2 linked regions of the Daphnia pulex genome follow. The protein of the gene in region 2 binds, or shares a complex with, the protein of the main gene of each other region. Links are inferred from orthologs where the notes say so. Each region holds a gene or a part of one and is shown on either strand. Other genes may lie near its edges. The genes, in order: actin-related protein 2/3 complex subunit 4 and actin-related protein 3.

The links.
Region 1: actin-related protein 3 (region 2) and actin-related protein 2/3 complex subunit 4 share a complex: the UniProt entries of both Caenorhabditis elegans proteins name them as parts of the arp2/3 complex. The link is inferred for Daphnia pulex from reciprocal best matches to the Caenorhabditis elegans genes arx-1 and arx-6.

What each region holds. Positions count from the first base shown.
Region 1 is NC_060028.1:5,631,838-5,635,182, reverse strand, and holds actin-related protein 2/3 complex subunit 4, read right to left. Parts: upstream 2,010-3,345; 5' UTR 1,838-2,009; coding exon 1,835-1,837; intron 1,650-1,834; coding exon 1,531-1,649; intron 1,471-1,530; coding exon 1,263-1,470; intron 1,133-1,262; coding exon 962-1,132; intron 899-961; coding exon 893-898; 3' UTR 707-892; downstream 1-706. Other genes in the region: mitochondrial carnitine/acylcarnitine carrier protein-like, read left to right, coding at 1-17, 91-270, 373-478, 548-629; uncharacterized protein LOC124209792, read right to left, coding at 2,457-3,213, 3,271-3,345. UniProt on the Caenorhabditis elegans protein: Functions as actin-binding component of the Arp2/3 complex which is involved in regulation of actin polymerization and together with an activating nucleation-promoting factor (NPF) mediates the formation of branched actin networks.
Region 2 is NC_060017.1:5,490,636-5,494,949, forward strand, and holds the start of actin-related protein 3, read right to left. Parts: upstream 2,986-4,314; 5' UTR 2,823-2,985; coding exon 2,779-2,822; intron 2,671-2,778; coding exon 2,484-2,670; intron 2,296-2,483; coding exon 1,981-2,295; intron 1,910-1,980; coding exon 1,592-1,909; intron 1,511-1,591; coding exon 1,292-1,510; intron 1,167-1,291; coding exon 1,083-1,166; intron 994-1,082; coding exon 898-993; 3' UTR 1-897. UniProt on the Caenorhabditis elegans protein: Functions as ATP-binding component of the Arp2/3 complex which is involved in regulation of actin polymerization and together with an activating nucleation-promoting factor (NPF) mediates the formation of branched actin networks.

The sequences.
Region 1 (3,345 bases), on a different chromosome or scaffold from region 2:
AGCTACACTGCTCAGAGGTAAGGTTGACTCAACTATAGTTCAAGAAGAAAATTTCTGCAACTACAGATGAACTCTCTTTCGATTTGGTAGATGTTCCAGCCAGCGGGATCTATTTTATGACCTATGAATGGCTCCAGGTTGCACTTGCACCAGAAAACTCCGACGGGAAATTAAGCCCAATTCGGACAATGTTTGCCGGTGGAATGGCAGGAATCGCCAACTGGATTATTGCCATCCCACCGGATGTACTGAAGAGTAGACTACAAACAGGTAATATTTTTTAATAGAATCAGATATTAGGCTATTAAATAAATGAGTTAAGTGAAAGGTAATATGATAACTTTATATCTTCGATTATTTTCCCACTTGAAGCTCCCGAAGGAACGTATCCTAATGGAGTGCGTGACGTCTTTAAAGTGTTGATGCGCGAAGAAGGTGTTCGAGCTCTCTATAGAGGAGCAGTTCCAGTGTTTCTTAGGTAATAGGGACATATTTAATTAAATAAGAATTTTTGATAACATTTTTTAACGTCCATTTTTCTTTAAAGAGCCTTCCCTGCAAATGCCGTTTGCTTCTTAGGATTTGAAATGGCTTTGAAGTTTTTGAACTGGTTAGCTCCTTCTATCTAATTGCGGAGCACTGATATTGTTCCAAGTAGATATTATCAAGAAATATGCACACTCCAGTTTGACTAAATACAATATAGTTTTCTGTAATATTTTCATTTATTATTTTTTGAGCTTGTGCATGAACTCAAACTAGGAGTTATCTGATTGTACACAAGTCGGATCATTTTACTGAATTAGCTTGGCTTGGAAACAGGTTTTTATGCAAATAAACTTGGGAATTATCTGGTCTCAATTTTCTTCCAGTTATCCAATAAATTCTCGAATTAAAACTATTAAAAAATGGGAAATGTTAGTCGGTAATAACTGATGAAAAAATTGACAGTAAAACACACCCGCTTTAAAAACTCCTCAGCGCACACACGGGCTCGTGCGTTGACGGCCAATTTCATTTCGCTAATTTCTTTGTCTATCTCTTCCATGAAGTGGATGACAAAATCCACTAATTTATGTTTGTACATGGCTTCAGTATGAAAATTAGTTATCAAGAAACTTATGTCATAACCCTAGAGAAATTATCAATGTATAACAACATATTTTAGAATATTTTAAAAAGAGTTTACCTTAACAACATATTTTAGAATATTTTAAAAAGAGTTTAACAACATATTTTAGAATATGTTAAAAAGAGTTTACCTCAACAGGCTTTCGTCTCAAAACAACAAAATTTTCTGCTCGCATCATCATGAACCTCATAAATTTGTGGCAAAGAATTTTTTCAATTTCATCAGCCTGTTTGATAGAAATGCTAATCCGAACAGAATTAATAGAGGCTTCTATCAAGACTTTTTCTTTCTCATTTCTTGAAATAACAACTGGATTCAGTAATAATTCCTTGCTTGTTCTATGTTTCAAAATAGTATTTATTAATGTTTACTCAATTTTTTCACTCATTTAACCTTACCTGACTTCCACTTCAGGTTTATTGTGTCTTTCAACAACTTGGGAAGAAAAGTTTTCCAAACACATTGCAGCTTCCAGTGTACTTCTAACTGCGGACAAGTAAGGCCTCAAAGTTGCTGACTAAAAATGACAAAATATTAATTATACGTGTACACATAAGACGATAGGAATGATAAAAGGAAGAGGGTGTGGTAAAGTGTTTGAAATGTGTTTTTGTCTGATGAGTTCAAAACATAATATTTTCAAAGTTCTTTTTGGATTAGCTGGGTTTGAATCACAACACAGAAGTTTAAGAGCAAACTAACCATTTTTTGCAATTTGCACAGCTGAAAAGCGTAGAATCTTAAGATAGTTCAAGAATATGTTCCACGGACACTATTTAGGCCCTACTCAATTTAGTGCTTTCTTTGGCTTTTTTCAGTGGGGTGGGCCGGATCTGTCAAAAACCGCAATTTTTTAAGATAACATGGGAACCGACGAAGAATGGAAACAGTTCAATCTGCTGCCAGTAGAGGGCCCGTATTAAATAAAGCAAAAAAATCAATCAATCAATTTCCTTTATTCAAGAAATTTACCGTGAGATCACAGATCACAAATCAAGCCGAATATAAACAAGTTTTAGTCCTTAGGGGTTTCGTAAATATCTTTGATCTAAGACTTGTTGTTAGTTTGTTATATATTACTTGTATAGGTAGAATTGAAGATAAGTCTATAACTAAACTTTTGTTTTGTGTGTTTTTTTAAGGGAGCGTTAGAAATGATATATGCAGATAGATATCCGCTACGTGCAGTCGATGCCGGTATATTTGTTTTATTTTGAGAAATAATAGGTTAACAAACATAGAATCAAAGTAACGATTGCACTAATTTGTTGACGATTGCACTAATTTGTTGCACTGATTTGTTGATGCAGCACATATCACCATATCAACTGTCCTTTTCCATTGGAGATGAAGAAGCCCGACAAATGAAAACCAACGTTTCTATTTGGTATTTATCAGCTGCCTCCAATAGAAGTAAATTAGGGGTAGAGTCGAGTATGCGGCCATTATAAATAAAGAACAAAATTTGTTCGAATATGCTTGGTGTAATGTCGCTGATGTCAACACACCCAGTATTCGCCTCGAGCATGTCGTGGGAAAACATTGCGGCAAAAACTGGGCTCCGGGCGGCCAAAATCCATCGATGGGCATGAAAGATACGCCCAGAGACGAGCAACTGAACATCGGTGGTCATGCCATCCAAAGCGGAACGCCAAAGCTGAGTTGGGCAAAGACTGTCCTGCAATTCGTATCGATATTCCTCATTATCCGCTTGTTCGATCGTCACACAGAACGTGAACTGGTAACATTTGTATCCATTTGCAACGGAGAAATTGCTTGTGAAGACCAGATTTTTATTAAGATCCATGTTGTGTTTCTTCTGTGAACAGGGATCCCATCTGTTGAAGTATGAGACACCAACCACTCGACTGTTTCGACCAGTAAAAAAGTATAGGTCGAACTCGCTACAATTTGTATATGGGATGATACGTACACACTGAATACCAACGCCGAACCACATACCGTCCTTTGATTTATTAGAGAAAGTTGTGCGATTCAAAGTTGGCAACTTTTTCAACGTCCATGAATATTGCATTACGACACCTCCTTTCGTTAATTGTGAGTTCACGTCAGCTTCACATCTAAAAATATATCAATTTATGGTTTATGAAATTTAAATGAATTAAATATAAGAATACTTCGTGACCATTTTTTCCATTGTTCCATTTGCGGTAAATTTAGGAAGCATTTCATCTACGAAGTATTTCTTTGCA
Region 2 (4,314 bases):
TTATAGAGTGATCAGGGATAGCAGGGTTTCGTGTATGAACATCAAATACGTTAGGGTCATTCATATCGGACAGGTTACTTTGCATTACGCCCCAATATCACCTTTAAGGGGCTATTGAAGACTACTATTTAGCTCTCAACGACTTGATTGCATTTGCATCGAATTGATTTCTTCATTTGCAACAGCGAACGCTTCCACCCAACCACACACTTGGCCTCGACGACAAATAGACAAGGAATGACTGTCATCCAATTATTCGGTATATGCTGAATCACTTAATAAAATTAAGGATGATAATGAACCCAGTTGATTATTTCGGCAAATAGACACCACGACGGCGCAAAGAAAGAAAAACATCTTTCTTTTCTTTTTTAGTAGAGACGGAAAATGGTAGAAAAGCCAACAAACAACAGGCACTTGAACAAATCCGGTTCTACCAATCAACTCAAGTTGCTCACCCTAAATCACCCATGAACTTAAAATTGGAAAGTATGTAGAAAAAGGAAAAAAAAAAAGGAAAAGTAAGACCAGAAGGAAGAGGAAAACAAACAAGCACCATCATTTCTCTCGAGTAAAAGGGGGGGGGGGGAGACAAGTCAACTTGGGAGAGGGAGGAAACGGGGTAGGCATGGTGTCAGGAAAAACAGCGGACTGGATTCAAAAACAAATGCTAGTAGGAAAAAAAAATTGAGGGTCAAATGAGGAAGGATAAACGGAGAAAAATAAACGGAAAAGAACTTGTTCACTTTCCTCTCTGTGAAAATGATAATTACATTTGATACGGCCCTCCTTACACATTGTTGAATTATTACAGAGGAAACCTCGATCTGATCGATGCCTTATGGCGCTTCCTTTTTGCGCGCTGTACCTTGATTTTTGTTTTTGTTCTACAGGTAATTATGTCATAGTACCAAACACTGGATTGTGCCTACAAATGCTCGGCCCGTACTCCTCATACGCAGCTTTAGTGTGACACACTTGATAAAATTCAGGCTGCAAACCGGGGAGAGAAAGCCAAAAAAAAAAAAAAAAAGATAAGTCAGTTAATTTCCTTTCTTACGTAATTTATCGCTATCACATACCGTTGAAGCAAGTAGACTTCCACCGAACCATACCGCATAGCGTTGCATGTGGTGCGATACCACTTGAACGTCAATAGGTTTCGGCTGTAAACCAAGAACAAAAATATTCAATTACAACTATTACGCCAGTTCCTGGATGTGGGAACCGTCGCGTATCCCGTTCAGCCAACCCATTCGACCACAACTCTTAAATACAAGTGGAAACTCACCGTCAGTTTGCCTCCACTCAGCTGTTCACTGATTTTGAGCCGAGCGTCGCTAACACGCTTGATATCTCGTTGCAACCGCCGACCAAAATCCTTAAACATGGTCGATCCACCCGACAATACGATGTTCTTGTACAATGGCCTCCTCACATCAATAGGGCAGTTTTGAATGACTGTGTCAACAACTTCTGATATAGGGGTCGTGAAATCGGGGTTGGCAAACTGCAATATCAAAATGAATGAAAACATGATTCGGTCTACAATAGCCAATGCAAAATGCAGACGAAAATGAATAAAATCTACCTCTGGGTGAAAGAAAATCTCGGGTCCTAAGAAACGCTCATAGCCAACATCAACGCCAAACGGCTGCTTGGTGATGGAATTGAGGCCTTCGAATTTCTGCATCCATTTATTGGGCTCAGCATCGTACTTGGCAAATTCTTTTGCAATATCAGGACAAATGTAACAGTAGCGCTCTTTAACAGCCTTGGCTGTCTCGAGCGATTGCTCAGGTGGAATGCCAATTTCTCTTTCACGGAGAAGGGATTGAATGAAATAGGTTATGTTGCGACCTGCAATTGGGATGTGCTTTATGCAACTTCCAATAACATATCCTTCAGCCTACAAAAATCAAGACAACAATTAGAAAGCGCCCAAATGAAAAGCAAATTATTTATAATAATATCAGTTACCACTGGGATCACATGGGTAACACCATCACCACTATCAATCACAATACCAGTCAAGGTTCTTTCACCCAACTGCCTTGAGGTCCAAGAGGCAGCCAGAGCAAGGACTGCTTGAACAGCTATGTACAGACCGGGAACGTTGAAAGATTCAAACATGATCTCTGCTGTGTACTCCCTGTTTTCCGGGGTGTTTAAAGGGGGTTCTGTTAGCAAGAAATGGTGGTCTTCTGGTTCTGCTCGCAGATATTTGAATATGCTCTGTTCTAAGAACCGCTCCATAAGGTCCCAATCTTCAACAATCCCATGACGTACAGGATACTGCAATGGTAATTAAACCAAAATGAATGATCTGTTTTCAATAATAACTATTTCCACTTGAAAAATAGCTGAATTGACAAATCTCATAAGTAAGGTGTTTGTTACCAATCATGTAAACAAACTGTCATTTGCATTAAAACTTACTTAAAAATAAGATAATTTAAGTTATGAATGAAAAAAAGTCATACTTTGACTGAATATCCCCCATTTCCTGCTTCGAGGGCTTCGTCACCAATAAAGAAGTCAAGATCTTCGATTCCCTTTCCTAACCTTCTCGAAGCTTGGTCACCAACCTTTGCTGTTTCTTTAATGGCAATGGCTGAAGGTATAATGTATTGAGGCTCTTTATTGCCAGCATAACCAAGCTTGGAATAACTAAAAAAAAACAAAAATTTATTAGAAGTGTTAACAACCTTTCCAGAATAGGCACACTGAGATGAGATTGCAGTCTGTCAGACAGACCAGACCAAAGCATATCCTTACCCTGTTCCGATGTCAATCACACAAGCCGGTAATCTTCCGGTCATTTCACACAATTATTGTTTAAAACCTTTAACACTATTTCTCTGATTTAATCCTTATTGTGATTAGACACAGAAATTGTAAACGAAATTAGCTTAATTCGAAACACCGGCAGCGTCTAGAGCGATGAGTGTTCAATCCCCACCCCTGGCAGTTTCAGACTACGGCCACCAGGTGGCAACAGAACTTCCTCTGACAATCTGATAAGGATTTTTTTTCTTTTTTTTTAATGAGACAAACATGGTAAGGTTATCTTATTTATCATATGCGGAGATAAGGCCATAGTTCAGTTATTCCAATGGTTAATAAACGGTGGACGTTAAAGAAGTAAAACATCCCATAACGATTGGTAAAATTGAATTGCGCCAGATTTTGAAGACATCTAGCGTGATTTGAATGAATCTGATTGAACTTTTGTGAAATCAGAAGGCAACCATATGTGACGTAAAAAGAAGTTTTCGTCATAAAAAAAAGATATTTTAAGGAACAATAAAAAAAATTTATGGTCTTGATGAGAAACAGAAAAAAATTTATCCGGAAATCCGGACCCTATCCTCACGAGTCGAAGATACCAGATACCCCTGCTCTTTCATCTTTGGTCTAGCAATCAAGTTTGAATTTTCAATTTAAAAAAAAAAAGGGTTGTTTCCTTTTCATTTTCTTTCCTACCATCTTTTGCTTCCTGCCCTTGAAACCAATTAGATTTTATTGGATGGGGCTTTCGTGGCAACCAACGGTTCAGTAAACGAGTAACTGGGGATTCTGATTCGGTCTGCAAGTCAAACTCACCATTCTATACACGCGCAAAACTCGCCACAGGCTATTTAAACCGAGACGGTAAATCTACAGGGGAGCATTTCATTTCAGTACGGCCATTGTGTTTGTACAATGAACATTCTCATCTTTTCCTGCATGACACGGCATTCCAACTAAATTTGAGACAGTCATGTTCTATGAGAATATTGACACTAAAAAGAAAAACTTATATCGCTAATATTCTCATTTCTTTATCTTAAAGGAAAATGTTGACTCTGCGTCACACCGCATCCTAATGGCTTTTGAATTTTAGCCCTCACTTTCGTATCTATCGCTCTATCAGCATATTACTCACACACAGCAATTGCTTTTTTGGGGGGTGACATAATCTTGCAAACTGTTAAGTACGTTAAAATTACCAGCCAAAGTGACGACAAATTTCAGCAAGTTGGCATATTTAATCCCATAAGCTATACTGACATTTCCCGATTCTAATGAAGTTGTACAAGAATACTTGAAACTTTCCCTTTGTCCATTCGCCCTACACCGCATATATCTCTCTCAAGTAGTTTCTTTTTAAAAACTCCATGAAGCAAAAGCGGCGGAAGGAACCACACAGCAACGACGTGACGATTTTTCTTTTAAAAGTCAACTTTATACTCGACTGGGATCGAGTTTTAGTTCACTCAGCTTAGCTACACCAAAGAGAGCTAATAACGTTCTCTTCTGCCAACGACAGGA